Oryzias latipes: one gene and its partners. The protein of the gene in region 1 purifies or fractionates together with the protein of each later gene. This does not show direct contact. Links are inferred from orthologs where the notes say so. Each region holds a gene or a part of one and is shown in the gene's direction. Other genes may lie near its edges. The genes, in order: lats2, ajuba, limd1 and sav1.

Region 1 (7,795 bases):
AGGGGGCTGATGTTTCAGAGAGTGTGCAGCAGCATGTGGACAGGGTCGTCTCCGTGGTGAAGCAGCGCTACAGCATGCTGTCGGGCCCCATAGAGAGTCCTGTCACTGCAGTAACAGAGTGCTCCTCCAACATCTCAACTTTGGACAAGATTGAGCAAGTTGCCTGTGCCTTGAACAACCTCTGCATCTCTGCTGCGCCATTGGAGTGACTTATGTGAAGAAAACCCAGACGACCTTAACAATCACTTATTGTTTCATTGGGTTTTATGCAGTTTTTAGAGTTTTTTTTCTCATGCGAGGAAAGCAAACTTTCATTTGCAGAGTCTTTTTCTAGTCCCTGATTACGACTGCATTACTGTTGTTTCTTCTCTGCTTGTAAACGCAAGCAGCAGCATGACGATAAGTGTTACAATAACCCGTCTGCCTTTCTTGGCTCAATCCTTTCCATCCAAGCCAGGTAGATTTAACAAAGTCTTCTGGTGGAATGATCAGTGTAACATGAGCACACCATTCTTCTGCTTCAAATACAGATTTTGAATTTATAAATGTCCTACTCTGTTTTGTAATTTTCTTCAGAAAAAGGTTTGCACAGAATAAGCAAAGAACCTTTATCTCTAACTACGGTAGCTTGTTCACACCAGACTAAGTTATTGAGCAAATTCAGTAGTACCCGGAATATCTGCAAATGAAGCGGCTCTAAAAGCCTTATCTAAATGTCTAAAGCTACTGTGTTTGCTAATACCAGAAGCCTATTTTGTGATAATTGCCTCTGTTAATAAAGTCTTCCAAATGAGCCTTTGATTTATCTTTTAAACGCCTTCATTATTGAACCTTGCAAGCATTTGGTTTGCTCCAAAGAATCATTCTTTCAACGTGGTTGTGTAGCTCATTGTTGTTTTCCACTGGTATCTTCTGATCTCAGGCACAGACGGTTGCAGAAGTTTCTGCTTGTTATCACAGATCATTTGCATTCTCCAATTGTTTTTTCTTTAGTCGTCATTCCCTTCAGCCTATGTGTCTGCTGATGGGGAAAAAGCACATACAGTACACTTCATCAGCAGAACTGTAGTGAATTGATTTCCACAGTGATGCTTTTGCTTCTTAAGCTTGTATATAATTGCATGAATCTTTGTAGCTGTTCCTGTTTGAGTCATCTCAGATACAACAAATGACATATGGAGAAGAAAACCTTTATGTTTTTAGTTTCTCATTTTGTTTCTTCTTAACCCTTGTGCTATCTTAGATGACCTCACCCTTACATTGTCGTGTTCTCCCTACCATGACAAAGATGGATAAAGGTGGAAAGATTTCATGAAATCCATGGACACCAGTGAAGATCACAAATCATTGAAGAAAAAAAGGTTCAGAGCACTGTCTAGTGGGTCTAGATGACCCAACTCCCAATGTTAAAGTGCCTAGGATAGCACAACAGACACTGTTTCAACTGTTCAAAAAAAGTTGCCTTCAGACATAAAATTATAAAGTATTGTTCATTGTATTTTGTTTTCTAGGCTGAAAAAACACTAAACGTTTGGGGTAGAAACCCCATTACCCTCACTCATTTCTCAATTCTTGGATAACTTGTCCACGTTAGTAATGTGTCATCCTTGATTATAGTTTGTTTTTGCTTTGATTTATTTGTTCAACGCTCAAGATTTCTGCTGAAGTGGTGGAGGAGTGACAGTAATGTAATGTACTGCTATATTTTCATTTATGAAAGGGAGAAAAATGCTCAGAAGGCTCCACCTTGAAGTATGTGGTGCGGTCAGTGAGGAAAGAAGACAGATGCTTCACTCCTAAAAAAATTTACTTCAACTCGTTAACATGCAGATCTGGAATTCTGGGAAATTTTGAATCAAAAACAAAACTACTGACTTTATGATTTAAAATTCTTGCAATCTGAAAATACTTTCATTTTGTATGAAAAAATCATCAGTTTGAGTAGTCAGCTGCTGTTATTCACACACGTTTTTTTGGTTTTGCACAACTTCGCAACAATGTACGCAAAAGTCACAAAAGTTTAGGAAAAAAAATCCAATTTAAAACAAACTACAAGCGGTAAAATCACATAATTAAAAATCCTTACCTAAATAATTGCAGTCAGTGTTTTTTTTTCCAAGATTGAATTGATCAATTTTCATCCAATGGAAAGATAATATTTTGAAAAACTGTGGCAAAAATAATTTTAAAATAATTTTCTTGTTTATTGATGTTTTGTTTGGTTCTAAAATATTATAACTATTTGGGTGAATATTCTTCCTTTAATGCTAAAAACAAACATTGTTTGTAATAACGCCATTGTTTTTTTGGTAATGTCTGCCAAAGAAACAGCGCTTAGTTTGAGAGGTGAGTAGAATATTAGAAAAATGGGATTACAAAAAAGTTTATACTCAGGTAGAAGCAAAAATGATTGTTTAGTCAAGTATAAGTAAAAAGTGTTAGTTACTGAAGTATTCACAAAGTGTCAAGAATAGTAATCTATAGATGCAGTGTTAAAATATGTTGGCCAAAACAGTTGACCTAGATCTAGTTTCAAAATGTTTGTAAACAACTTTTCCCTTTGGTTCTGGCATTAGAAAAAAATCTATATTTATCCATTAAGTTTGTTAAACCTAATTAACCTAATTAAAAAAAATAAACTTTCTTGGTAGAAATCTTTTAACAGACTGACGTCAATGTTGCTTACAATGCATCCTTGAATAAATTATACAGAAAACGTTACTGGACTAAAGCAACTTACTGTAACCTTTCTTTGTAGTTCTAAATGTGATTTTTTTAACTAACTTTTAAGTTTTTAAATGATATACTTGTGCAAAGTTGATTTCAACTACACAAAAACTGGAATCTGCTGCAGGGTGAGTCGTGGTCGTAATAGACGATCTCTGTGTGAGTGCTGACGTGCGTTGGTCCGTCACGTGACCTGAGGAATGTTAACAATGCAGCGAGTGTCCAACTTTGTGCTGCATTTCGGATCCTTCTTTGAGTCTGGGGAGAAAATGGAGGCTCGTTTTATCCTTCCCAGCCCGTCGCCGTGTCTTCGCTGAGCGCGTGCCTTCAGTCTCCGCGTCCAGCAGCTAAACGAGCAACTTTTTCCCGCTACTTCTTGTAAGGAACTGACTCTCTATTCTTTGGGATTCTTCTTGTCTTGGCACTTCTCTCATCACACATGGTAAGTTGGGTTACTCGTTAAGGGATAGGGAATGCTAGTTAAGTTGTTTCTACAACTTGTTGCTGAAAAGTGGGAGGGGGGGAATGCCCCATAATAACGCACATATATGTTACCGTTACGGGCTAACAGAAACGGAATCGTTTCTCGGTTTGAAGCGGCTCTGTGGTTTTTACGGGAATGCCTCCATTTTTTTCCCTTTTCCTTCACAGGAATGCGTTGCTCTCAGCCCCCAGCCCTGCCCGGGGTTCAGCGGGGGAGGCCACAGAGCGTTAAAACGCTGGCTTCCGCGTGTGTACACACCTTTCAGACAAACAACACGGATAACGGTTTGATGAGATCAGGAATATATATCCAGGCCACACACGGTTATTAACTGACATTTCTATGGATCAAAAATCCCCCTTTTAGTTCACTGAAAACTGCTTGGAAGTGACCCCCCTCCCCGCACTGATTTAAAACACTAATTGAGTGTTGTGTGACAAAACTTGGTCAACAGCTGTTATGGTTAATTCTATGCACTTTCTGTATAAATTAGTGGGAAAACATACAAACCCCACATGTCAGTAGACCTACTCCAGGTGACATCCCACTTTAATAAAATAAATTAAATGTGTCCAGATGTGTGAAGACTAGAGATATAAAGATTTGATTCATATCCAAGCTGGTGATTGACGATATAATTCGTAGTTGTATGTGTAAAAGTAAACAAGAATGAATGGTAAATCCATTCACATTTTAGTTTCCTGAAGTTCAGCCTACTGTTGTTTTTCCACATCAAAAATAATCCAAAGGGAACATTAGTAGAAAATCTACCACACTGTATGGTCACATTTCTTTGCTAAATTTCAACCCATTGGACTGGAATGATGGACTGATCAGTTTTTGTTGCATCACACGCGTGTTGTTTGCTTTAGTAAAACAAACCTACCATGTCTCAATCCAAATAGTATTTTCCAGTATCAATAATGTAATTTTCAAATGATTTTCTAATAGGAAAGGTCAATTTAATTAACACTGATCAATTTGGTTGGATCGTAGGAATAGCAATTGATTAAGTTGATTAATCGTTACACCCTGAATGATGACACAGCAACAGGTACAGTATGTGTGGTGGTACAGCAGTGCTTAGGACTCCACTTCTCTCAAATGAAGGGTTTGCTTGGCTATTTGAGTTGTTTTATTTAGAATAAGCTTGGTGGAGTAGGAGGTTGAATGGATAGCTTAAGGTTTGTGGATGTTTGGAGATTGTTTAGAAGCATGTTATGTTTAAAGTAGGAGGCCGATCACTAGACGGCCCTCTGCAAATGAGAAATCATCAAAGATGCACTTCTGTTATATGACAAGATTTGCAGCTGTGGGAAATCTCATTTATTTATGATTTTGGGTTTGTTTTGTCATCTGTTGCTTTTGAATTTTTATTTTACTTGTGCAGTGCATATTTTATTTCAAACCATGCTAAAAATTGCAGAGATAAACTTTGTTTTGTTCATCCTAAAACTGAAAGTCAACACCTAGTGGTCATTGTTGGAACTGCAGACACACTGGTCTTTGTCTAAAGGCCTGTTCACACCGGGACGAATTTCGCCGGCGATTTTCGCCGACGTTTAACGCCTCGTGACTAAACAAAGGGCACCAACGAGAGTGTGCACACCGACGCGAAAAAACGCCAGGCGTTAAAGCGTCAAAAAAAAAAAACGCCTCGGGTTCGTTTTTTTTTTTCGACGCATCGCGTCGAAATCTACTCGACCAATGAGAATGGCGCTTTTGCTCACGTGTCTGGAGCTTCTGAAGTTACAGTAAAACACAACTTGGGGGCGCTCAAACACAAAACTGCCTTGCTGAGCACACATACCAGCGAAGAAGATAGACGCCAAGTAGCGTCTACACACAGCCGCGAAGCAATAATGACGGACATTCTAAAATATCCCCGAACCAAGCACCACTTGGAGCTACTGGTGCTTGAAATATTCATGTTTTCTTTGTTTGATTCTGACAAGCGTGTAAATACTTGCTCTCTTCTTCTGAGTGAAAAGCGACTTTAAGAAGCGTAAAGTTGCGCAGCGCCACCTTGTGTACAGGAGTATTTCTGTTTTACATTAAGCGCCATCTAATGTCAGGGAATGAAATTGCATGTTCACTCCACTCATCGTCAGCGAAAATCGCCTGGGTGTGAACACAAAAAACGTGGCGAAAAACGCTGGCGAATAACGCCTGGCGAATATTCGTCCCGGTGTGTACGGGCCTTTATACCCACTTTTTAAGGTTGGTGTTTTTTTTTTAAATAAGGTTATAATACAGCTACTTTCTTTGATACTCATTTATTTTGAAATGTTTAACTTTTTCTGCCATACTGACAACTCAAAGTGCAGCATAGTTTGTCTACTTTTAGAACGCAGTTCATAGAATAAATGATAATAAACTAGGGCTGCACGATATGAAGAAAACTCACGTGTGATATCAGTGATTAATATTGCAATGACAATATGATTTATGTGGACAAAGAGCAAAAAAAAGCATAACTAATTCAACATTTCCGTTTCACTCAAAAAGGTTTACTTAAATAAAAGCCAACATAACTTAAATTATACCCCAAAGAACCCTGGTCTACTTTAGAGGCGCTGATCTAACATAAAAAGGCTCCATCTGTTTGGTCAAATGCGTAAAGGGCTCAATTTGATTTGTTAAATACTTCAAGTTTCCATAAGATTGTTTTTTTCTTTATGTGTCTGAACATTTAAGGTAATCATTTATTGCAATTTACGCCATCTTTTGAGATTCACGTATTGCACAGGCTGTCAAAATGACAATAAACTTAAAATTTACTCTGGAGGCCTATAATAAATAACTCCATAGAACTTTGCCAACTCAAACCAAATTTCTTTGCATTTTTCACTGGGAGATGTAATTTTCTCTTGGGAAAATAAATGTTTCTGCCAATTCCTTCAGACAGACTCTTGACCGACGTGGAGTAATTTTAGAGTAAAAACAAAACCGAGATAAGGGTTTGGAATGTGTATAGTGTTAATCACAACAGTATGAGTGTTTGTGGAGACATGCAGAAGCTCTGGTTTCTTATAGACTGATTTTGGAATAGCGGTTGTCTTTAAGATGTCTCCCGACTCAGATCGGACACATGCACGGTGTTTGCCGGTTTATTTTGGTCAGCACAGACTGTCCCATGATTGGACTGTGGTATTTTACTTGTAGTTACTTGTGGAATGGAATGCTCATCGCTCAGATGTGGTGCCAAAAGCATCACAGGAATGGAGGAAAGAGATCCAGGAGATGAGGAAACATTTTGGAGCCTGGCTCCACAATCTTCCACCAGTGATATGCATTTAAAAAAACCAGAGAGAGAGAAAGCAGGAGAAAGGCGATTTTATCTGTACTAACAATGAAGATCTTCCTTACAATTGCCTAAAGGGATGAGACGGCCAGGGGGGCGGAGGGTGGGTGTGTATTCAAAGAGCTTCCCAGGTTTGCTGCATCTGTTGGGTTGTAACTCTTGGCAATATGACTCATTACAACAACAGTGAGGCCATGTTTGAATGTGTTTTTGCTCTGAGGAATGTCTTCATAGCATATTTGCTTCACAAAGTTGAGTAGAAGTACAATCTGATTGTAATATATGTACTTTTTAATACAACAGCAAATCAGTTGAAGCTGCTTCTCTGATTAAAAGTTACAATACAAACAAATTGCAAAGCCAATTCTTGTTCTTTTAAATTAAATCATCATTAAATTCATTAAATTTGCATGACAACCATTTAATGCTTTTAAGTCATTTTATCATTAAAATCTATCCAATAAATGTGAGATTTCTTTGTAATAGATTTTTGAATCTCTTTCTCATTGAGATTTAATCTGATTGATACTTTCATGATCTACTTTGGCATAGGGCGACAGATGTCCATGACGGCTTCGAACAGTGTTGAACAAATGTGTTTGCTTAGTCATCCATTAGCCTGAAATCCAAGTTTCACATGAATTGGTTCATGAGCTAACTGATTTAAGTTTAAATATAAAGATTTGTTTAATATTTTGATGCATTTAATTTATTTATTTGTATCCCTTGTGAGCATGAAAGCTGCATCGCGGACTGTCCTCACAGTTGGGAGGTCATGGCTGGGTATTTCTTGGGTAGAATTTGTATTTCTTTTTCTTGCATATGTGGGTTTTTGTCCAACTGTTCTCCCCACAGAAGAAAAACCCTTATTTATTTCAACGTATTTTTATACTGGACTTGTCAGCGAGTAGGAGGGGCATCTCTAAAAGTTTTTTCAGCTCCAAGGTCCCAGGTTGAACACTCTATGGAGTGTAGGGCTGTTGGTGTTAATTTAGAATGATGGACATATCTTCTTCTTTTTGGGTCATTTTAATTGGTTATAATAACCACCAGCCACAAAGTCATTGGGATTGCAAAGCACAACAGTAACCTTACGGTTGTAACCACAACAGTAAAAAGAAAACGGCTACAAACTTGTGTTTCTCCTTTTCCCAAATAGGAAGTACCATTTCTTCCTGATAAGGGCGCTACCAGTCGCAGTGGCAACTACTGTCGCCATTGCCATAAATTTGATTACCGGTACTCGGAGCGATTCGGACCAATCACTGTTGACTGGTTTC
Region 2 (7,745 bases), on another chromosome or scaffold:
TCCTGCTAACTTTACAGACATGTTTCCACTCGCAGCCTGCGGTAAAGCCTGCAGAAGCTCCAGCAGGCAGGGACACCGGGGAACTGCGGGGTCATGAAGGGCTCCGTCGGGAAGTAGGGTGCGGGGTCGGCGGAAAGCTTGTTAGCATTTCCGAGCACGCCGGCGCACAATCGGTTGTATTTTATCTGTGCATGTTGTGCCACGACGCGTCCGTTAGGTGACACAAAACGGCCGGAATCCCTCGTAAGTTATGCTGGTCAGCCCCTGAAATAGTGGCGGATGTTTACCCTCATCGTCCTTGGAGAAGTCAGACACGCCGCAAAAATTCACCAGCTGCCTCACCCCTTGCCATGTCCTTCCGCGCATTCCACAAGCTGCTGGTACAATAAAATAGAGCCGCTACCTAAACTGCTTTTTTAAATGAACATTACATTTTTTGTGGCTACTTATTTTTTTATTTTATTTTAGAATGACCAAAACAGAAAGTTCAGTAATAATGTAGTAGTGATGTACGGTCTAAAGCAGAACAAAATTTCACAACATTTTTTTAAATTAACAATGAAAGCAGTATATTCAGCCTAATCTAGTAATGCCTTTGATGCAAAATACTATTTTTTAAATCAATGTCAAGCATTGTAATGCTTTATTAAAACATGCACCTGATGTTGAATAAACCTACGAAGAAAGAAACATGATTAACCTCATTATCACATTACATTTAATTTTGAAAGGTGTTGCAATCTGATTTTCCCTCACGAAGTAAGTCAGCAGAAATGTTTCCTTTACCAGAGGTTTGAGGCACTAACTTCACTACAGAAAATGTTGCAAAGAAAGCATGAATCACTATGTGGGCATGGTTAAAGTCAGAAAAACAAAGAAATGTTCAAATTGTTGGCTTGGTTTGGTGGTCACTTTACAATTAAAGTTTGTGCCATGTCATGACTGCGTCATCAAAGACTGCTGATTGGCAACAAACATTTATCCATACAACTCTGACAATCAGTAACCTCCAAAAAAGTCTGTTTTGGAGCCCTGAGGGCCCAGAAAAATCATCCCCCAACCTATGCATATCTTGCATATCTTGTTTTTAATATTAACAGACTCATCTATGGTTGATCTGCACTAATCTGCCATGCAAAAAAGGAAGAAAAACTCAGGCAATGAATTATGATCAGTTATTGAAAACATGAGCAAACATAGCTCTGTAATACTGTAAGTATTACAGAATACATTAAGACTGTATACCATAATTAACTGGACTATAAACCAGGTTGGTGAATGCTATTACTTTTATTTAGTAACTTTCATACATTTTTAATTCTAAAAGTTGACATTATCTCAATATAGTAAACAGTCCATTTTCTGCCAAAATGATTGTAAACAAGAGGATAGTTATTTTCATATAATTTGTTTCAAAATAACATTTTAAGGTCTAGATAATTTCTGAGAAACATTTTTATTTTTTGTATCTCTACAAAGCCGATACATTGAAACCATTACTCCCCATTTTTGGGTAGTTTGTTTGTTACCAAGTACTAGAAGTATTTACTCACCCATCCAAATGATCAGAATCAGGTGTCCTTATCACTTGGCCTGGCCACATGTGTATAAAATCAAGCACTCAGTCATGCAGACTGTTTTTATATATATATATATATATATATATATATATATATATATATATATATATATATATATATATATATATATATATATATATATATATATATATATTACACCCTATGGGAATGAGATTAAGCCACCCTCTATTTTGCTCCTTATGTTACTTTTCACACAATTTACAAAAGTATAAACAAAAAGTGTCTGAAATGTCCCTGACTGACAGCCATGTTTAGTAATAAACATACAGTACTGGCTGCTTACTGTAATTATATCCATATTTACGTCATAACATATTATTAGAAAGTGCATGAAGGGGGGTGTTAAAGACTGAGATCATAATGTGTAATAGGCTAGTAAGCGTAAAACTAAAAAAGGAAATCTATGTTTGGTGAGATATTTCTTTGCTGTAACAATGTTTATTGGAATAAATTTTATTGTTGGAAAGCCTTTTTTCCTTTTTGATGCCTTCATTATTTTTAAAATTTTTAACATCTCGTATTTTTTAGTCAAATTGGTGCTTTTGTAACCCTCTTTTCCAATTAAAACCGAAGGTAATTATAAATAACATTTTTTCTGGTAATACATTTTTTAGAAAAACCTTTAAATCTAAATGTATTTTATGTTTAACTATCTTTTAAAAGAATTCCACTCAGAACTGGGATAAAAAGTGATTTTCTTGGACCGATATCGCATCTTCTGCGGGAGTTTTGCATGAATGACAAGAAGAAAAAAAAAACATGGTTGTTGGAAAGGTGTTCCGGTCTGTTGGGGGGAATGAGCCACTGCAGACTGAAAAAAGAAATAACAAAAAAAAAACTCCTCGCCTGTGTTTAGGAACGACCGGATATGAGATACTATCGTCAAAATAAAAGCAAAAACAAATCATATTTGATGGAACAATTTTAAAAGCACTATTGTGGTCGCAAAATGCAAAGAAAGGCTCTCAAAAAAGGCGAGTAAAACCTTTTAAATAAAATTTAAATAAAGTTAAACTCCAAATAATCCTTCTAAGAAACTGTGTTGAATGTTCTGACACACAGTCAATGCCTGAAGGCAGACTATTTTGAAGTGCTCCACCAGGAAGTGTAATTTTCTCTTGTAGCTAGCTTGACGTGGCTGAAAAGAGGGGGAGGTAAATCATTATTTAGGGGGAAGAAAGAAAGAAACAAAGTTGTCGACCGTGCAGAGCACACGGGGAGGGATTTTAATTATCCGGTGGGACTCTTTGTAGCTCAGCGCTGCTCTGCTTGGATGTAAATGTAACGGTGCGGCCGTTTCCTTCACTTCCTTTTTGTGTTTCCAAACTTTTCCGCTACTATTCCGCCGGTCAGGACTCCTGCTTTGTAGACGGGAATGATAAAGGCAGTCGAGCTCGAGCGGATGGACGGACCGACGAAGGAGTCTGGCCAGCGCGGCGTTGGTGGTTTCCCTGGGCTTTCTTAAAAGCGGTAACCCTATTTATTTAAGTTCATTTCGTCCCGAGATGAATGGAAGGAGTCGGCTGAGTCAAGTCTGTGAGCTCAGGCGGATTTATTGTGCCGTCTCACACTGGACCCTCATGAAGCGCTGATAGTCTGCATCCTGCTTCACCTCCCCGCTTTGTGGTTTCAAAAGAAAACCCAAACGGTGAGACACCCCCACTCCACCCTGGATGTCAAGCAACTTTAAAAAAAAATAGTAATTTAGACTAATAAAAGAAGAAAAAGAAGAAGAAACAGACGAGGAGCCACCTGAGGGTCCATGAAGGAATCCCCGTACGACCTATTTAATGTGTTTTAGGATTTTCAAACTCCTCTGAGAGTTGCTCATCCCATCCTATCTGTCTGTTTTTACACATAAATGACTCACAGGACCTACTTTAAAACGTCTTTTATTTATCTTTTCAATATTTATTCTGTCTAGAAAAGTGTTTTTATCAACACTTTGTGATACTTTTTAAAGCCATTTTCTACCTTTAGGACTTAACATTTCAGCTTACTGTCTTTGTTCTGCTGTTTGTACTTGTACAGTTTTTGAGCACAAAGGAAGCTGCAGGAAAGACCAGACTTTTCCCCTGGTTATAACCAAAGGGTTCACCATGGAAAAGCCAATAACAAAGCTATTAGGGAAGTTAAAGCTGACCGATTCAGGCAGTGTCAAATTCAACAGTTCGAAAAAGAAGCACGACGCTGCCAACAATTCCAATAACAGCAACGCAAACGTTGCTAACTCCGGAGGACGTGGAGGCGGCAACGCTCCCAGTTCCACTGCCTCGCCCTCAAGATCCGGCCAGTTCCCACTTGCCCCCGCGACCACAAATGATCCGAGCGTTCCGGCAAGTGGAGGAGGTGGGGGAGGCGGAGGAGGGATGGCGATGGGTCCCTCGCAGCATCTGACCACTCCACCCCCTTCCTCCACTGTACCTCCGGATGGTGAGCAGCTACTTCACCCAACCACCCTTGCACCTCTGAGGCGCCCCGCCTCCCATCAGCGAGCTTCCTGTTACATGGAGGGCATGGACCACCAAATCCGGCCTGATGCTGACCCTCAAGGCCTGTTTGGGTCCAAGGCCTCCGTCAATCAGCGGCGTTACTCCCTGGAGCTCCAGCAACTGGTGAAGCGACAGCAGCTCCTCTCCCAGCCACCTCCTCACTCAGTCCCCGCTTTGTACCAGAACCCCTCGGGGTATGGGTCAGCCCCCAGAGGTGGGCTAGCTGAGCCCAGCTACCTCTCTGATCATGAGAGGCACAAGCGCTTCTCGCTTCAGGAGGCCTTGTTTTACAAACGCATGAGCACAGGCAGTGAATTGTGGGAAAGCAACAGGCCTGCATCCCTCTCTCATCCTCCACAGCGAGTACCAGATATAATGGGAGGGGTTGTAGGAGGAAGCACGTTTTACCCCCCGGGACAAACCCTGAGTCCATGTTCATCATTCAGCCTCCAGGAGTCGGTTCTGGTCAGTCCCAGGTCCAGCTTCGCCTCCAGCACAGCCAGTGGAGGCGGAGGAGGCAGCCCTATGGGCAGCCGCTGCAGCAGCAACAGAACCAGTGGCATAAGCTTAGGTTACGACTCCCGCTACTCCGCATCCGGAGGCCTCCCTCTAATGCAGCCCTCCATGCTCCCAGGAGGCTCCTCGGCTGGTTACGGAGCCCCCGGCCGGGCTGGAGGAACCCCCGTGGAGGCCTGGACTCAGTGCTCGGTCGCTTACGACAGTCGTCACTCCTACCCGCCTGCGGTGGGGAGTCCGGCGGCAGCGTGCTACCAGGGCGGTTGCGAGTGGTGGGACGATCAGCAGGCTGGCATAAGGGCCAAAGAGGCAGGGGTGATGAGAGAGAGGGCCCGCTATTCTGACCTGCCAGGCACCAGGTACCAGGAGGAGCTGACTCGGCTTTTGCTGAGAGACGCCGCGTCGGAAGGTGGCGGAATACCAGACGTCCTGATGCTGAAAGATCAACACCGGACCGCTGTTCCAGCGACAGCAACCCCTCCATGTGGCAGTCAGATCAAACCTCAGGAGGAGCCAGGAGCTGGGGGAGGGAACGCCGAAAACCGACTGGAGTTCTTTGGTGAGACTCATGTTCTTTGGTTTTCTTTCAGAGCCTAAATTGTAGCCGTGTTTTCATTCTGGATTGATGCAGGAGTGCAGAGTCAAACTGTCATTATTGTCTCCCTAACTGGCTGGTGTCAGATCACTGCTTGATCCTTAAATGAAGGGCTTGGATGGACAGATTAATAGCTGAAAGAGCATATGGATGGATAGCTGATGCCGGGGAACCTGCAGAGACATGTAAGGCCATAACAAGCAGAATGAAAGAAAGAAAGAAACGCTTAGGCTTCAAAAAGCTGATCCAGACAAGCAGATGGCTGAAGACACCGAGATGCTGCGTCAGCGCATTTAGTCAACTCTCCAGGTGTGTGTGCGTTTCAGGCTCACATCTGGCCAGCTTACTATAGACGGCCGATGCATGTGGTCATTAAAACCCTGCTGTCAAACAGGAATTATGTGTATAAACACACCTCTGGACTCTTCTGGAGTCCCACTAGATTAGGGCTCTGGCTTTGTTTGTGTTTGTGTGGCGGAGAGACAGTCGGCGTGACTCCAGGCCACGCTGAGGTGGCGTGCTTGTGTGTGTGTGTGTGTGTGGAAAGGCTGGCTTGGCGTGTGCAGGGGCGGTGTGCTGGAGCCTGTTCTCCTGCTCAGGTATGTGTGCCCAGAGGGGACGCTCCCAATGCTGTACTCCTCTCAGTCATGAGGAGAATCGGAAGCTGTGAGGCGTGAAGGCAGACGCTAAAAGGATTCCTCTATCAAAAGCGAAAATAAAAATACGCCGTTTTGTTGGGATTTCATAACCAGTTTGGAAGAGTTGGTGTCAATCAGTGAGATTTTGTATTTGAACTGCAAGGACCAGATTGTTTTTGCAATTCTCCCTCCTTCCTGTGCGTTTGAGCGAAAATGTCATCCTCGTCACAAACTCAGGAAGGCCAACCCCATTTAAAAAAAAAAAGACACCACAGCGAGCAAAAACCTGAAAAAAAGGAAGGTGCCAAAATCTCTCACAGGGCTTAAAAAATACTTCAAATTTGGCCACAGGACCTACGGTTTGTAATTTGGTGATTTACCCATTCTGGGTATTGAAAACTTTAGTTCAAGTGATCTTCATAAAAATCACACACACGCCACCAGCTTAAGTCTACAACCACAACTAAAGTTTCGTTGACCCTTGACCTCAGGAAGAGGCCAGCATCTTTAGCACCTTCTACAAATGTGAACTCCTCAGGGGGATTTTGATTTATCGCCTCCTTACTCCTCGAGTATTAGAAGGTGTAGATTTTGAATGGCGCTTTGTGTGGCGAGCTAGCAAATGTGACTCGCACATTTTTCACCAGAATATTGTCAACGTTTTATACATTAACCGTTTGCCCAAGATGAGCGAAATAATAGCAATGTTACTGGATTAGGAATAGGGGTGGGGTTAACAAAAACCTCAATTGTCAAGGAAATTTAAAAAAATTTCCTTTTGCAGATTTTTCTAAAAATGACATAAACCTATTCAACACATATAATGGTTACTATGGTATTAAAACTAAGAGAAAAGCCACTATATTGAAAAAAAGTGTTCTTTTTTCATGACTTTGTCACGTGCAGCTCTGACCAGGGTGGCATAGGGGAAGAGTGAAGCATCTGAAGCAGCCGCTCAGCCAGTGAGGGTGGGTCAAAAGGGGGGCGGCGAGGGCAGTGCCTGCGGGCTGTACAACGCCGCTCACGGCATTAATTAATATTTTTTATTATCTGTCAGGATTTTAGGGATTGCATTTAAGGTTTTAGTTGTTTCCCAGAAAGCTAATCGTGTAGGAATTTGTGATTTATGTGTCTCCAGGCCACATTTTAAAGAGTTGGGGGGGGGCAAAAAAAAAAGCACTTACACCCTTTAAATAGATCCCAGACAGTGTGACGCTCTGCAGTTTGCTACTTTACATTCAACATGCTGCCTGTAGAACCAAGCAGGAGGGGAGGAAACCGTCCCAAGAATTCTTACGATAGCAGCACTCTTTGATCCGTTTTGACCTGGAAAGTTTTTTCCACTCAAGTTGCCTGAAAATCAGTTGGACCTTTTTGGCTTTGCTGACTGGAAGGAAAACGCAAACGTCGAAAGGCGGCTTAAAAAAAATGTGGCTCATGAGAGGAAACGCTGCTATCATTCCAAATCTCCTCATTGCTCTAAATACGGCTTTGAGCTGCATTTAAACGGCTGCCAACAGTCGGAACCGCTGGAGTTCCCCTTTTATAACCGCAGACACCTGGGTTGGGGAGCAAACAGACGGGCTTGGGGTAGCAGGATTCTTTTTGACTGTGTGAAAATCCCCTAGGTGGTGCGAACGAGAGGATTTACAAGTGTTGACGCTTTGCGTGGAGTTGGATTTCAGGCACATCCTTAAGGAATGTGTCGTAAACAAAGCGCAGGACGAGACGCTGAGCGACGGCTCTGCTAAATGCATGTTTGTTTCCATTGTTTCTTTCCTTTCCTCCCCACAGGAACCTGTGTTAAATGTGGGAAAGGTGTGTATGGGGCGGATAACGCCTGCCAGGCTCAGGAGAACCTCTATCACACCCGCTGCTTCACCTGCGTGTCCTGTGGTCAGTA
Region 3 (7,529 bases), on another chromosome or scaffold:
ATCAATGTCACAAAGTTCAAATCTAATTGATACGAGCGTTTTGCGACGCCAATTTATGAATCTACTGTGTTCTGAAGATGTAAATGTTGTTGGTTTATTAAAGAAATACATATAAATACATGTTTTGGCAAAAATTGTTTTGACGCAATGCATTTTGGTTTATATTCGCCGATCTGGTGAGCATCGATGCACTTTTTTGCATAGAATTCTGGGAGATTTCTAGGGCACTCAATTTTGAAATTGTAACTTCAGACAGCACTACAAAATGGCAAACGCACCAAGTAGTAAGTTGGGAAGGAATTCGGACACAACCATTGTGACTTTTCTACTTTAATTTGCAGATGATCTTCTAGTTTTCATGAGCGGATGAGGTTAGTCATTTGGTATTTCACTGGTTTATGAGAGTCGGGACAAAACATGTCCCACATGAAAAGGTCTTTTTATGGATAAAAATCATGAATTTAAAATGGATTGACTTACTCTACATGTTAGATGTAAAGGAATTGTGAATACTGGTGTTATGTTTTAGCATAGAAAATTATTTTTTTAAAGACTCTTTTGCTGAAATGTATGAGTAGTGATGAGGCGTCCTCTGGTATTTCTCTTGTCTTCAGCATGAGGTCACAAAAGTCACCAGCATTGAAAAATATTAAGTCCTTAACATTTATATCAAATTAAAGATGAGGGTTAAAAAATGTATTAAACAATAAATATCATGAAAATGAAACATTTTTGGAAGAGAAGATAGAACAAATTTCGTTTTTCTGAAGTTCTTTTGTCCCGACTCTCAAGAATCAGTAAGTTCCTACAAAAATTAGAACAAAAACCACGAAAAAAAATTACAAACAAAGATCATCTGTGTTTTTTTGTTAGTATTTTGTTTTAGTTTATTGAATGCGGTCCGCTTCCAGACGTCACTGCCGTTTCCTCCACACCAACAGAAACTGACGTTGATGCGGCCGCTGCATTTTAACTGTTTGGTTCCGGCAGACAAACTTGGATGCATCAATGTGTGTCTTGGTTTGATTTAGCGACATCACCTGCAAATGTGTTTATTTTGGAAATTCAGTAAAAGATTATGTAAAAAGCATTGCTTAAAAAAAGTGTACAAACCCTGAAAGGTGCTAATTCTGCACATATGACCCCTTTTCTGTTTAGTACTCTGGTTTCCAGCAATCAGCTGACAAGTGCAACGCATGCGGACATCTCATCATGGATATGGTACGTGCTGATGGAGCTCCAGAGGATCTCAGTAGACGCTTGGAATGGCTGTAGCCACACTAAGCTTTCTGCAAACTCAGAGATTGAGGTCTGGTTCCTCATTACTCACGTGTGATGAGGTGTTATAAGTGGAATGGAATGGAAACAAGTTTATTTCGAATATATGTTAAAAAAAACAAAACAAAACAAAAAGAAAGAACAGACATAAATAAAAAAAGAGAATATAAAGAAAACGTTCACGCTCAAGAACCGTTATAAACACAAACAGAATTTTTTTCTTTTTCTTTTTTCTTCCATATATGAACACAAATACTACAAACAATTAAACAATTATACATATTCGAAAAGGAGTGAGAAAAAGTATAAACTTATATAAACTCACCCCCTATTCCTCATCAATATTAATTACATTAGTAAGCAGCTTCTTTATTTATACACAATGTTTCATAAGGTATAATAATTTTCACAGAGTACTGTCCTAAATACTTAGCATGAATTATTATTGAAGAATACTATGCGCATATTAAGATAAGAATAATATACACATATATATTTTTACATATGTATACTTACATACATATATACATCTAATATCCATCCGATATATTTGAATATCGTTTTAAAATCATATTTTTATATCTTATTTTAAAGAGTTTTATGTTGGGACATTGCTTTATTTCATCTTCTCTACTGTTCCACAGTTTTGCTCCACAAATAGAAACACTGAAACATCTTCTATTTGTGCGTGCTTTGTGTATGTAAAAATTTTGTTTTCTTCCCAAACTGTACTCTCCCTCTCTTTTCATGAATAATTTTTGTATATTTGCTGGTAGTAAGCTGTATGTGGCTTTGAACATGAGTAATGCTGTGCGCAGCTCCACCAGATCTTTAAGTTTCAATAATTTTGATTGTAAGAATAATGCATGTGTATGATCCAGATAACCCACGTTATGTATGATTCGTATCGCCCTCTTTTGAAGAATTAACAGTGAATGTAATGATGTTTTATAATTGTTTCCCCATGAGTGCAGTACCATATTGTAGAAAACACGTCTCGTGCTCCTAAAATCCAGGTGGGATTACAAAATCAAGTCAAAAGATCAGACAATAACGTTTGTTGTTGTTTTCTATTTGTTGGCTAACCCAGATTAACAGATTATTTCCCATCTTCGTAGATCCTGCAGGCTCTTGGGAAGTCCTACCACCCCGGTTGCTTCCGCTGTGTCATCTGTAATGAGAGCCTGGATGGGGTGCCCTTCACCGTGGACACCGAGAACAAGATCTACTGCGTCAGAGACTACCACCGGTAACCCTCCACGGCTGAGTGTCGGTCTGCCACGTGCAGCGGACACACAAGAGGTTTATTTTGTCGTGGAAGTGCTGGGAGGGGAGGGGGGTCTAGTTGGAGGTGTGAGGAGGCACGTGTCTGCCTGCAGGAGCAAACATCTCTCTGGTTCTGTGTGGTTTGGTTCATGAGCCGCTCACAGGAACTGCTGACACCGGATTGATTTCCTCTCTGCTGCAGCTGCTGCTGCTGCTGCCTCAGCTGGGTCGACATGTACTTGCTCTCCTCTCACTGCCTGGCAGGCCCCCGCATGTTCCGATTCAATCAGACAAAGCTCACTGTGCATAGTCTGGATTTGACTGGTGCTCTGCACAATGTAATTCTTCCCAGACATCAAGGTGCCTGCCATGTGCTTAGAAACTCAGACTTTTGTTTATGGTTCCTTTTTCCTCAGCGCATGTATGATCGTATGTATGAAGGAACTAGAAAGCCTTTATTTTAATCCAGACAACTTACTTTGTGTTTTTTTTAGGGTCCTTGCCCCTAAATGTGCTGCCTGCAACCAGCCTATTTTACCTTCAGAGGTATGCTTTTCTTTACTTCTGTTCTTATTTACATTTCAAATCCAAAAAACAGAGAAATGGGAGTAAAATGTGTTGTTTTACTGTTTGTTGGTATTATTCCCAGCTTTTTTTTTGCAATACTTCTTAATACCTGTGCTTCAGAGCGTTCATTTCACCCTCGCCACATACTCCAAACTCACCCAAATTTGCACATACCGAGTTAAAATAATGAATTTTGGGCAGAGTGAACTATTCTTTCATAGCACTCATATTTGGCTCCAAAAAAGGTAAAAAAAAATAATTAAAAAAACGGTGGATGTTTATGATTTCAACTGGGGCTTGTGGGAGTTCATTGTCGTATTTGAAAAGGGGCACAGATTCTGTCTGGCTGCTGATCCAGCCTCTTTACAACACCGGCCTGTCGGCTTCCTTGCCGGCTGCTAAAGAATATTTTACAGCTGGTTCCACCGGTTCCTGAATCGCTGTAACCAAAGTTTGTGCCCCTGCATGGAGAAACGGCATCAGCTGAGTCAGAAGCAGACGGACAAAAAGTCCTGAAACGCTGAGGAAGATGATGGCGGAGAATAAATATCATCCGGATGAATGAGTGATGGATGAAACCAGCCTCCTCTGGAAGAAGTGACCCTCAAACACGCTGCAGGACCTTTGGCACGTAACTGATGAAGGATGAGGCACGGGTTCCAGGTTTTAAGGCACAGAGAGACACTCCTAATGTGTGTTATAAAGTACGCTACAAAACAGTCTATTGCCCTGAATATATATTTAAAAAAAACTGGATGCTGAGCAATGTTTTTTAATAAATGTTTTACAAAGCATCAAAAATGTTTCAGAAGGGTTTTTGATGAGTAGGGATCAGTGACGGACGTTCTCCGGCTGCGGGGGTGGAGGTGGTTCTCCGTAATCGCAGATTCTACGTATTCACGGGTGTCTCTGCTCCCTGAACCCCGCGAATAAAAAGGGCAATGCTGTACTCACTTGAGTTAAACAGGATTCCTTTAAATACGAATCGTAGGAGCTGACATCTGTGGATCTTATCCGTGGATCTGCTTTCAAAGCAGCTCACACCCTGAGGCTTCTGTGTGTGTTTTTCAGGACAACTCACCGTCTGCTTTCCTTTGCAGGGGTCTGACGAAACCATCCGCGTGGTTTCCATGGAGAAGGACTACCATGTGGAATGCTATCACTGCGAGGTGAGCAACGATGCACTAAGTCCTACATGCAAAAGTTCAAATCGAGCTGTGTGTGTGTGTGTGTGTGTTCTCATTAAGGGAAGTTCTAATGAGCAGATCCCTGATCTTAATTACAGCCTTGATAATTATGCAGAGCTGAGTGAAGCGGCTATAAAACTGCTCATTTATTTATTTATTTGTCTTTGTCAAATGTTGATTGGCAGCTTAACTGCTGAGACAAACTGACCTGTTGTTTCAGTCCTGTGCTTCTGTCTCAGCAACACAAAAAACCAAACAAACTGCTGACCAACCAGCAGATGAGTGAGTCTCCTTCCCGTCTGAATGAGTCAGCAGTCGCTCTCTCTCATCTTTGCTTCTTCACGTTCAGGACTGCAAGATGGAGCTAAACGACGAAGAGGGTCACCGCTGCTACCCTCTGAATGGCCATCTCCTCTGCCACTCCTGCCACTTGAAGCACATCCAGACAGGCGTCCCCGCTCCTCCTGCTGCTGCTGCTGCCTCCTCCTTCTAGCTGCAGCCGCAGGGAGACGACTGCTGGTCGCAAGGAGGAACTGTCAAACATGGCGCCTGTTCAATTCTTGTTGTAAAGGATTGATTACGGCATCACACCCTTCAGGAATGAACTCTGAAGACCGGCTATGACTCAGATATAAAGTATTGTGATTAACCAAAGTTGAATGCATATGATTATCCTATGAAGTTTTTCTCTTGTGTTTGTAAACGGAGTGCCTTCTCTTTCGTATTTGCACTTCAACAGCGATTCTTCACGTTCAGCTGGAGACACAGTCATCCTCCTTTCCGAGGCGTTAACTCGCACGTTACTGACATGAACCTCTGGAGCCTAACGGTTCAGGCTGAGATCAATCTGCTGGCCGTTGGATCTGAACCGTAAAAAGTACCGGTCACAACACAACAGGTTTTCAGACGGACAGATTGCAGTGCTGAGTGGTGAAAGGATAAACTCACACACGCTGATAAAAGCACTTAGACTGAAGTAATGGACTTTCCTATGCACATATATTCAGGGCCATCTATTAAATAGTTTTAAATATATATATATTTGTGGGTTTGCAGGTAAATATTTTTAAAGTATAGATGCAAGTACAGAGCGGATTTAGGGAACTTTGATCAAATGCTAACCATGGTTGCAGTGTGAGATGTTTTTCCCGCCAAACCTTTAATTACTCGAGTCTTCAGTTCATTATTTAAGCTTCACTCATTTGTGAAGGCCATTTCTCTGTTTATTAGAAAATGTAAAGCTAATGCTGTATTATTATTGCAAAGAAAGTGTTTCAATAAACATCAGCTGCTTTGAATTTATCCATTTTATTTTTATTAAAACTGGGATTTTAATACCAATCTGTAATGATGGAACCTTTACTTCACGTTTGTTCAGGAACTTTTTGTCACCTTTCAAAAAAACAAACAAAATCTAACTAACTTTATTTATTTTTTGATTTTTATTGGTGTTCTTATTTTACACGGTTTACTAATAAGCCTCACATCACTAAAAAACTCAAATGAATTGAAGCCGGGGGGAAAATGAGTCACCTGACTGCTCCATGCAAAATGTGACTTTTGGCGGGGAAGGATCATGGTATGCGGTTCTTCAGTAGAACTTTTGACTATGCAATACATACTTGGTAATGAAGCTCTGTTAAGTACATGCAAAAATTCAAAAATTGATTTTGTGCCAGTAGGAGGAATAAACTGACATACAGTGGGGCAAAAAAGTATTTAGTCAGCCACCATTTGCGCAATTCTCTCACTTGAAAAGATGAGAGAGGCCTGTCATTTTCATCATAGGTAGACCTTAACTATGAGAGACAAAATGAGGAATGTAATCCAGAAAATCACATTGTCTGATTTTATAGAATTTATTTGAAAAATAAGTATTTGATCATCTACAAACAAGCAATATTTCTGGCTCTCACAGACCTGTAACTTCTTCTGTAATATGATCTTCTGTCCTCCACTGGTTACCTGTATTAATGGCACCTGTTTGAACTGGTTATCTACCGTATTTTCCAGACTATAAGTCGCCCTTTTTTTCATAGTTTGGCAAGGGGTGCGACTTATACTCCGCAGCGACTTATATTAGAAATAAATTGAAATAAATACATTGTTAACCCTCCTGTTATGTTCATTTGTGAGGAACAGAGATGATGTTCCTGGGTCAATTTGATGTATGAGGTATGTTAAGTGTTAGGAGTATGTTAAGTGACTCAGAGAATCAGCAAACTTTTTTTTACAGTAAGATCTTGAAGGCTAAAAACATAATATTCTATTTTCCAATGATTTCATAGATTCAGAAATGCAATAAAAACGACAACTGTTTCTACAAATACAGGATGAAAACAGAGTATTAGTTGGCCAATGATGCTTCATGAAAGGAATAAATAAATAAGTTTGAGAAATAATTACTGTGAAATTATGAGATAAACAGTCTGCTATGATTGTGTCATATGAGGTTATGAAAGTTATTAGTTCTTGGTCCCAGATTTTGTCAAATAAATTTCCCGTCAAAATGCGACTTATAGTCCAGTGCGACTTATCTGTGCTTTTTTTCTACTTTATAATGCATTTTGGGCTGGTGCGACTTATACTCCGGAGCGACTTATAGTCCGGAAAATACGGGTATATAAAAGACACCTGTCCACAACCTCAAACAGTCACACTCCAAACTCCACTATGTCCAAGACCAAAGAGCTGTCTAAGGACACCAGAAACACAATTGTTGACCTGCACCAGGCTTTGAAAACAGTATCTGCAATAGGTAAGCAGCTTGCTGTGAAGAAATTAACTGTTGGACCAATGATTAGGAAATGGAAGACAAACAAGACCACTGATAATCTCCCTCCATCTGGGGCTCCCCGCAAGATTTCACCCCGATGGAGTCAAAATAAACAAAAGAACGGTGAGCAAACATCCCAGAACCACATGGGGGATCTAGTGAATGACCTGCAGAGAGCTGGGACCAAAGTAACAAAGGCTACCATCAGTAACAAAGTACATCTTCAGGACCATCTAAAGTTTGCTAGAGAGCATTTGGATGATCCAGAAGAGGATTGGGAGAATGTCCTATGGTCAGATGAAACCAAAATAGAACTTTTTGGTAAGAACTCTCCTCGTGTTTGGAGGAGAAAGAAAGCTGCATTTCATCCAAAGAACACCATGTTCTCTGTAAAGCACGGGGGTGGAAACATCATGGTTTGGGGCTGTTTTTCAGCAAAGGGACCAGAACGACTG
Region 4 (7,670 bases), on another chromosome or scaffold:
TTTTTACAAATGCAAATACTTCTTTACATGTGTGGACATAAGTAGAACTGGAAAACATTGAAGTTTTCTGAGGAAAAGTCCTGTTTAGGGCTGCCATTCCTCCCCCGGCCTGAAGGGGGAGATCAATATTTGTGGGATTTTTTTGTTGAAAACATTTGAAGTATTTTTTAACCCTTTCATGGCTTTTGTTGCTAATTTGCAACGTAGCATTTGATTCAGGACTACTGCTAAAATATAGCCTCTCCTTAAGCGATAAAAGAAAATAATTTGGACAGGAAGAGGTTAAAGCAAAACTTGAGACTTCCAACTAAAGCTCTTTATTTAGTATCTTGGAGTTCTCTCTGAATGTTGTCGTCTGCATCCGTTCATTTTCTCTCTTTTTCGCTCTTCCAGCTGCACAAAAACGGCAAAGCAGACGTTCTGATCCAAGACCTGTACGTGGAGAACGCTCAGCTGATGAAGGCGCTGGAGATCACCGAGCAGCGGCACAAGATCGCCGAGAAGAAGAACTACCTGCTGGAGGAGAAGATCTCCAGCCTGAACAAGATCGTCCGGGATTTGAACCCGGCGCCGGCCTACTCCTACAAATGACCTGGAGGCGTGGCCTGAAGAGGTGGCGCTCTGAAGGAGTGTCTGATCCAGGAGTCAAAGCCGTCCAGATGTTTGCCTGATGGACTCATTTTAACTGGAGGGACGCCCCCCCCATGCACCAACACGGACCACGACTGTCAGGTTTTATCCCACAATATAATTCTGAGCAATAAGTCATTTTAATAGAATATCTGTCCAAACGAAGGAATCCTCGCGACCAGTTTTTAGCCGTTTTATTCTATGACATCATGCAGACGCTCCTTTACTTATTTAACCACAAACACTTGAAAAGCTGCTGAGATGCAATAATAAACATTAAATGATGTTTGGAAAATGTGAGGCGGCTGACGGTTTGAGTGTCTCAATAAAGCAGAATATGGGGGGGGGGGTAAATGAAGTGTGTCTGATGTTTGTTTTTGTTTCTCTCTGCATAATTCAGATCCACTTTCAGAAACAAAAATATTTAAAGTTTCAACAAGAAGGTTTATAGAATGAATAAAACAAGCCTGACAACAACCGGGATAAATATCCACATACAGTCAGAACCATAAATATTTGGACAGAGACACATTCTTTCTAACTTAGTTTCTATACATTACCACAGTGAATTTTAAATAAAACAACTCAGATGCCATTGAAGTGCAGACTTTCAGCTTTTATTCCATGGGTTGAACAAAAAGATTATATAAAAATGTGAAAAACTAAAGCATTTTTAAACACAATCCCTTCATTTCATGGGCTCATTAGTTATTGGACAATTGTCTACCATGCTATTGCATGGGCAGGTGTGGACAATTCCCTTATGTCATAAGTGAAGCAGATAAAAGGCCTGGAGTTGATTAGAGGACTCGTGCTGCATTTGGAAGATTTAGCTGTGAACAGACATGCGGTCAAAGGAGCTCTCCATGCAGGTGAAAGGAGCCATCATTAAGCTGAGAAAACAGAAAAAAAACATGAAACCAGAAACTGCTACAGTATTAGGAGTGGCTAAATCAACAGTGTGGTACATCCTGAGAAAGAAAGAAAGCGCTGGTGAACTGAGCAACGCACAAAGACCTGGACGTCCACGGAAGACAACAGTGGTGGATGATGGCAGAATCATTTCCATAGTGAAGAGGAACCCGTTCACAACAGCCAACCAAGTGGACAACACTCTCCAGGAGGGAGGCGGATCAATATCCAGGTCTACCATAGAAAGAAGACTGCATGAAAGTAGATCCAGAGGGAACACTGCAAGATGCAAGCCACTCATAAGCCTCAAGAATAGGAAGGCTAGATTGGACTTTGCTAAAAAGCATCTAAAAATGTTCTGGAAAAACATTCTTTGGACAGATGAAACCATAATCAACCTCTACCAGAATGATGGCAAGAGAAAAGAATGGAGAAGGCGTGGAGAAGCTCCTGATCCAAAGAACACTACATCATCAGTAGAACACGGTGGAGGCAGTGTGATGGTCTGGGCGTGCATGGCTGCTAGTGGCACTGGGACAATAGTGTTTATTGATGACGTGACACAGGACAGAAGCAGCCCAATGAATTCTGAGGTGTTCAGAGACAAACTGTCTGCGCAGATCCAGGTGAATGCAGCCCTGTCTGCGCAGATCCAGGTGAATGCAGCCAAACTGATTGGATGGCCCAACGACCCAAAACATCCAGCCAAAGCAACTCAGGAGTTTATTAAAGCAGAGAAGTGGAATATTCTTGAATGGCCAAGTCAGTCACCTGATCTGAACCCAACTGAGCAGCATTTCACTTGTTGAAGACTAAACTTCAGACAGAAAGGCCCACAAACAAACAGCAACTGTTTGCCGCTGCAGTAAAGGCCTGGCAGAGCATTCAGAAGGAGAAAACCAGCATCTGCTGATGTCCATGAGTTCAAGACTTCAGGCTGTCATTGCCAACAAAGGCTTTTTAACCAAATATTGGGAATGAACATTTTGTTTGCAGTTATTTCATTTGTCCAATTACTGATGAGTCCATGAAATGAAGGGATTGTGTTTAAAAATGCTTTAGTTTTTCACATATTTATATAATCCTTTTGTTCAACCCATGGAATAAAAGCTGAAAGTCTGCACTTCAATGACATCTGAGTTGTTTTATTTAAAATTCACTGTGGTAATGTACAGAAACTAAGTTAAAAATGTGTCTCTGCCCAAATATTTATGGTCCTGACTGTACGTGTCGGGATGAGCGTTTCCAAACAGGAAGTGGCTCCAGGAAGCCAAACTCCCACAGATGTCTGTAGAAAAACAGCTTCTGTTGGTCAGAAGAACCGTTCTGCGTCTGATACCTATTTAACATTTTGATAATCCTGATTGAGGAGAGTGGTTGCCATAGAAACTCAGACCCACCACTGCTTACTGACGTCTGGCTTCAACATGGCGGCGTCTGTAATATGACAACGTTGCGACTGAATTGCCTTCATTTGGTTGAAGCCGGAATAAACCATTTACTATGGGACAATGTTATAAATTCAGATTTGACACAAGCTAGATGAAATGACACTGGAGGAAATGTCCATCATAATGTACATCAACTAAACTAAATAGAATTATGACGTAGATAGAAAACCTAGAATTTTTAATTTATTTAAAAAAATGAAGTATATGTACTTTTTAAAAAAATGTTTAGTGGCACACCACTACATTTAATAAAGTGAAATAACTTCATTAAATCTAATCTAATTATTTAAAAAAAAATGAATTAAAAAAGATGCAGAACTGTAAAGTTTTTAGGTTATTTAATAAAGAAGTAGTTTGTAAATTTGAAATTCTACTTAGAAATCACTCGATGTAGTATTTGAGTGACATCTTTTACTTTCTACCGTACTTATTCTTTATTTTTAATTTTTGAAATTATTTGTTTCTAAATGATTTTTTATGACCCTCGGGGTCATCCGTACATTTGCAGTAACGTTCTATTAAAGCCGAGGTGTATTTCTCTGAAACGTCCGCCAGGGGGCGCATCAACGGTAGGGAGGACTGGACAGCCAGCAGCCGGGAAAGGAGGATCCGCGGTGGGATGGCGCCGCCGCGGCAGCTCGCTCCTTCTCCCAGAGGCTCCAGTTTGGCTAGCTAGCTGCTGGCTAACCGGAGCGGAAAAATGAGCGACCGGGACGGTCGCCGAGTCGGAGGATGACTTCAGAGCGTCGCGGTTTTGAGGCTTCGAGCTTTGAGTGATGCTCTCGCGAAAGAAAAGTAAAAACGAAGCGTCCAAACCGGCCGAGGTCCACGGGAAGTATGTGAAGAAGGAAACGTCGCCGCTCCTCCGAAGTAAGCCGCGCAACAAGTTAGCTCAAGTTAGCCGCTATCTGAAAGCGCATCACTGTAGAACGGAGACGGGGAAAAAAAAATTTTTTTAAACAAACTTTGCTCTCATTCCCGCGTCAGAAACTCAACGAGCCACCGAGTGACGTTAGAAACACGGACTTGACGTCTTACCTGCGGGCTGAACCTCAATTCTGCGAAAAACCGCCAGAAAAAAGTTCTGTTTGTTCTGACTGCGCATCTTTCGTTGTTTTTGATCTCAAATGTCGCTCATCGACCTGCAGCCGACGGTTGCGGCGCATCAAAAGGACATTTCTTTGATCTTAAATGTACTTTGATGGCGTAGATGTGCTTTGATGACGTAAAACCGCTGGTTTGAACATTTAAACTTTTGATTTGGTTCAAGCGTTGATCAAATGCAGATGTGAGTTTAATTTGGGGTGGGGGGGGGTCTAGCCATTTTAAAACAAATCATTTTAAAAAAAAAAGAATCTGCAAAAGTAATTTTTAACAATAACACCAAACATCAAAAGATTCATCTGTTCTGTCCTGCAGAAATATTAACATCTTCATGTTCAGCTGATTCTTCTGAAGCATTTTTAGAAAATTCCTTCTTTTCTGGTCGCATATTTGAAACATTTTAGGTTTAGAATTTCAAGATTTGGATGATTTTGTCCTTCCAAACATCAGTCATTTTCTGGTTCTTCTTACATTTGAAATGAGCAGAAATGCTGTCTCTGCCAGAAAACAGGCAATAAATGACCTTAACCCTTGTTCTATCCTAGGCACTTTACCATTGGGGGATGGGTCATCTAGACCCACTAGACAGTGCGCTGAACCTTTTTTCTTCAATGATTTGTGATCTTCACTGGTGTCCATGGATTACATGAAATCTTTCCACCTTTATCCACCTTTGTCCTGGTAGGGAGAACACGTCAATGGAAGAGGGGGGGTCATAGGATAGCACAAGGGTTACATGAAACTGAAACAGTTTCATTAAATGAATCTGTTATAAACTCAAACTCGCTTTCCGTCATTTCGACAATTGTTCGCCAGAAAGGAGGAAACGGACGGTTGTCAGGGTTTCATCTTTGGTGGGAACAGGTTCCTTTGATGCTGAAGTCGTGTTTCTCTGCAGACCTTATGCCCTCGTTCGTTCGCCATGGACCCACCATCCCCAGACGAACCGACGGCCCCCCGCCGGAGTTGGGGTCCTCCACCTACCCCGTTGCATCCAGCCGGGAGTCCGTGGCGTCCCAGAGCAAGAGCGTCCTGCGCCCGCCCGTGCAGAGGCCGCCGCAGGAGGTGGCACGCCGGGAGAGCCACCGCATGTCGGCGCCCCCCTACCTGCCTCGCAGCCTGGGCGACCTTCCCCATGATTACCGGGGCTCCACGCAGTCCTTCCTCACGGACGTGAGCCACGTGTCGGAGAACGGAGACGCGGCCCGCTTTTATTACCCCCCCGAGGCGTATTACGACAGCCCGCAGCAGCAGCGACCCCGAAGGGCGGCAGAGCGCTTTCCCGACGACTACAGATACTTTGAACCCGGCGAACACAACTTCATGAGACATCCCCGCCAGCACACGCCCCCAGCCCCGAGCCGCCCCCCCTCAGGTAAACGGTGTTGGGATAGATTGAAAAGTGTTGTAGAATCAAGATGTGAAGATAAGAATGAAGAGCTGATGGTTTCTACTGCAGGTTTTACCTGAAAAGATGAGATCATCTTTTAAAAACATCTTTGAGTCAACGATCATAGATCTGACATAGATCCTCTGATGGATGATCCACAAATCCATGATCCACAGATCTACGATCCACATATCTATGTTCTACAGATCTATGATCCACAAATCTATGTTCTACAGATCTATGATTTACCGATCTATAATCCACCGATCTATGATTACACATCTATGGTCAATGATTGAAGGGGGTTTTTATTGTCATTGCCGGTGAACAGACAGACATTACAGACTAGACTGCGGCGCCACATAAAACGCTGAGAAACAAAAATGAACAACAGTAAGCAAAATAAAAAATAACAAAAAAAATAGATCAACGGATCTTTGATTTTTTGTCGAGGAAGACCTGCTGATCTATAATTTACAGATCTGCGATCCACTGATTCTATAATGTGTGTACCACAGATCTATAATCCCTTGATCTATGTTCCATTGATGTCTGATCTATAGATCTATTCTCTTTGGAAGACCCGCTGATCCACTGATCTACATTCTGTGGGTCTATGATCCACTGATCTACATTATTCGGGTCTATGATCCACTGATCTACATTCTGTGGCTCTATGATCCACTGATCTAGATTCTATGTGTCTATGATCCACTGATCTACATTCTGTGGGTCTATGATCCACTGATCTAGATTCTGTGGGTCTATGATCCACTGATCTACATTCTGTGGGTCTATGATCCACTGATCTAGATTCTGCGGGTCTATGCTCCACTGATCTAGATTCTGCGGGTCTATGATCCACTGATCTAGATTCTGCGGGTCTATGATCCACTGTTCTAGATTCTGTGGGTCTATGATCCACTGATCTACATTCTGTGGGTCTATGATCCACTGATCTAGATTCTGTGGGTCTATGATCCACTGATCTACATTCTGTGGGTCTATGATCCACTGATCTACATTCTGTGGGTCTATGATCCACTGATCTAGATTCTGTGGGTCTATGATCCACTGATCTACATTCTGTGGGTCTATGATCCACTGATCTAGATTCTGTGGGTCTATGATCCACTGATCTAGATTCTGTGGGTCTATGATCCACTGATCTAGATTCTGCGGGTCTATGATCCACTGATCTAGATTCTGCGGGTCTATGATCCACTGATCTAGATTCTGCGGGTCTATGATCCACTGATCTAGATTCTGCGGGTCTATGATCCTCAGCTGAATCGTCATAGATCTGTAGGTCATAGATCTGCAGTAGGTCTCAAGCGGAAAACCTGGTGTTTATTCAAAGCTTTCTGGACCGTTTGCTTCCCCCTCGTGTTGCTCCCCCTCACCGGAGGTTAAAGGTCACCACACGGAGCACATGCTGATGTTTGACCCGTGGTTAAAGCGGTTCCTGGTGGTTCCTTCACCACATCAAACTCAGACTCTCATCTTTTTTCCCGTCTGGACGTCTTCATTCGTCGTAGAACTTTAGTCTGCGTTTGGGAAACCCGTTTCCATGTCGGTGACTCTTAAACATTTGCTCCTTCGGGCGTCTTCTCGTATCAAATTCCTGCGGGGCGTCTGGATCTTTCTGTGGAAAAGGTCAGGAATGACGATGAGGAGGTGAAGGAGGAGACCGCATTCCTTCTGCCGCAGAATGTGTCTAACTCCAGCCGGCGTTTAGGCGGGAAGCCCCTCCCCTCGCTCGCCTGCAGCTGTCGGACCCGCATTCCTCGCCGACCTTCACCGGGAGCGCTCCAGGAAGTGTTGACGGAGCTCTCCCTGGTGGAGCAGAGAGCTTCCTGTCCTCGGCGCTCCCGCTTCCTTCCGTTCGTCCCGCAGACCCGCCGCCTCTTTCCCACACAGAGAAAACATTCCGGTTTTCCCCGGAGTCTCCCGGTTTTCCCGATGTTTCTCTGTTTCCTTCAGGCATCAGCCAGATCCAGGCCAAGTCTCTGGGGAACCTGTCCAGCCTGGCGGGGGAGGACCTCCCCCTCCCAGCCGGTTGGACGGTGGACTGGACCATCCGCGGCAGGAAGTACTTCATCGACCACAACACCAACACCACCCACTGGAGCCACCCCCTGGAGAGGGAGGGGCTCCCCCCGGGCTGGGAGAAGGTGGAGTCC

Evidence for each region.
Region 2: the proteins of lats2 (region 1) and ajuba purify together in Homo sapiens (affinity purification with western blotting; 3 studies listed by BioGRID and IntAct, with this or other methods). This does not show direct contact. The link is inferred for Oryzias latipes from reciprocal best matches to the Homo sapiens genes LATS2 and AJUBA.
Region 3: the proteins of lats2 (region 1) and limd1 purify together in Homo sapiens (affinity purification with mass spectrometry; 3 studies listed by BioGRID and IntAct, with this or other methods). This does not show direct contact. The link is inferred for Oryzias latipes from reciprocal best matches to the Homo sapiens genes LATS2 and LIMD1.
Region 4: the proteins of lats2 (region 1) and sav1 purify together in Homo sapiens (affinity purification with western blotting; 4 studies listed by BioGRID, with this or other methods). This does not show direct contact. The link is inferred for Oryzias latipes from reciprocal best matches to the Homo sapiens genes LATS2 and SAV1.

The regions. Positions count from the first base shown.
Region 1 is NC_019879.2:11,538,584-11,546,378, reverse strand, and holds the start of lats2 (serine/threonine-protein kinase LATS2), read left to right. Parts: upstream 1-2,918; 5' UTR 2,919-3,169; intron 3,170-3,378; 5' UTR 3,379-3,457; intron 3,458-7,795. UniProt on the Homo sapiens protein: Negative regulator of YAP1 in the Hippo signaling pathway that plays a pivotal role in organ size control and tumor suppression by restricting proliferation and promoting apoptosis.
Region 2 is NC_019876.2:18,016,517-18,024,261, forward strand, and holds the start of ajuba (LIM domain-containing protein ajuba), read left to right. Parts: upstream 1-3,700; coding exon 3,701-5,168; intron 5,169-7,636; coding exon 7,637-7,738; intron 7,739-7,745.
Region 3 is NC_019874.2:10,095,514-10,103,042, forward strand, and holds the end of limd1 (LIM domain-containing protein 1), read left to right. Parts: intron 1-1,158; coding exon 1,159-1,221; intron 1,222-2,396; coding exon 2,397-2,527; intron 2,528-3,038; coding exon 3,039-3,090; intron 3,091-4,211; coding exon 4,212-4,280; intron 4,281-4,647; coding exon 4,648-4,791; 3' UTR 4,792-5,639; downstream 5,640-7,529. UniProt on the Homo sapiens protein: Adapter or scaffold protein which participates in the assembly of numerous protein complexes and is involved in several cellular processes such as cell fate determination, cytoskeletal organization, repression of gene transcription, cell-cell adhesion, cell differentiation, proliferation and migration.
Region 4 is NC_019880.2:1,303,121-1,310,790, forward strand, and holds the start of sav1 (protein salvador homolog 1), read left to right. Parts: upstream 1-3,521; 5' UTR 3,522-3,769; coding exon 3,770-3,863; intron 3,864-4,995; coding exon 4,996-5,472; intron 5,473-7,470; coding exon 7,471-7,670. Other genes in the region: nin (ninein), read left to right, coding at 394-591. UniProt on the Homo sapiens protein: Regulator of STK3/MST2 and STK4/MST1 in the Hippo signaling pathway which plays a pivotal role in organ size control and tumor suppression by restricting proliferation and promoting apoptosis.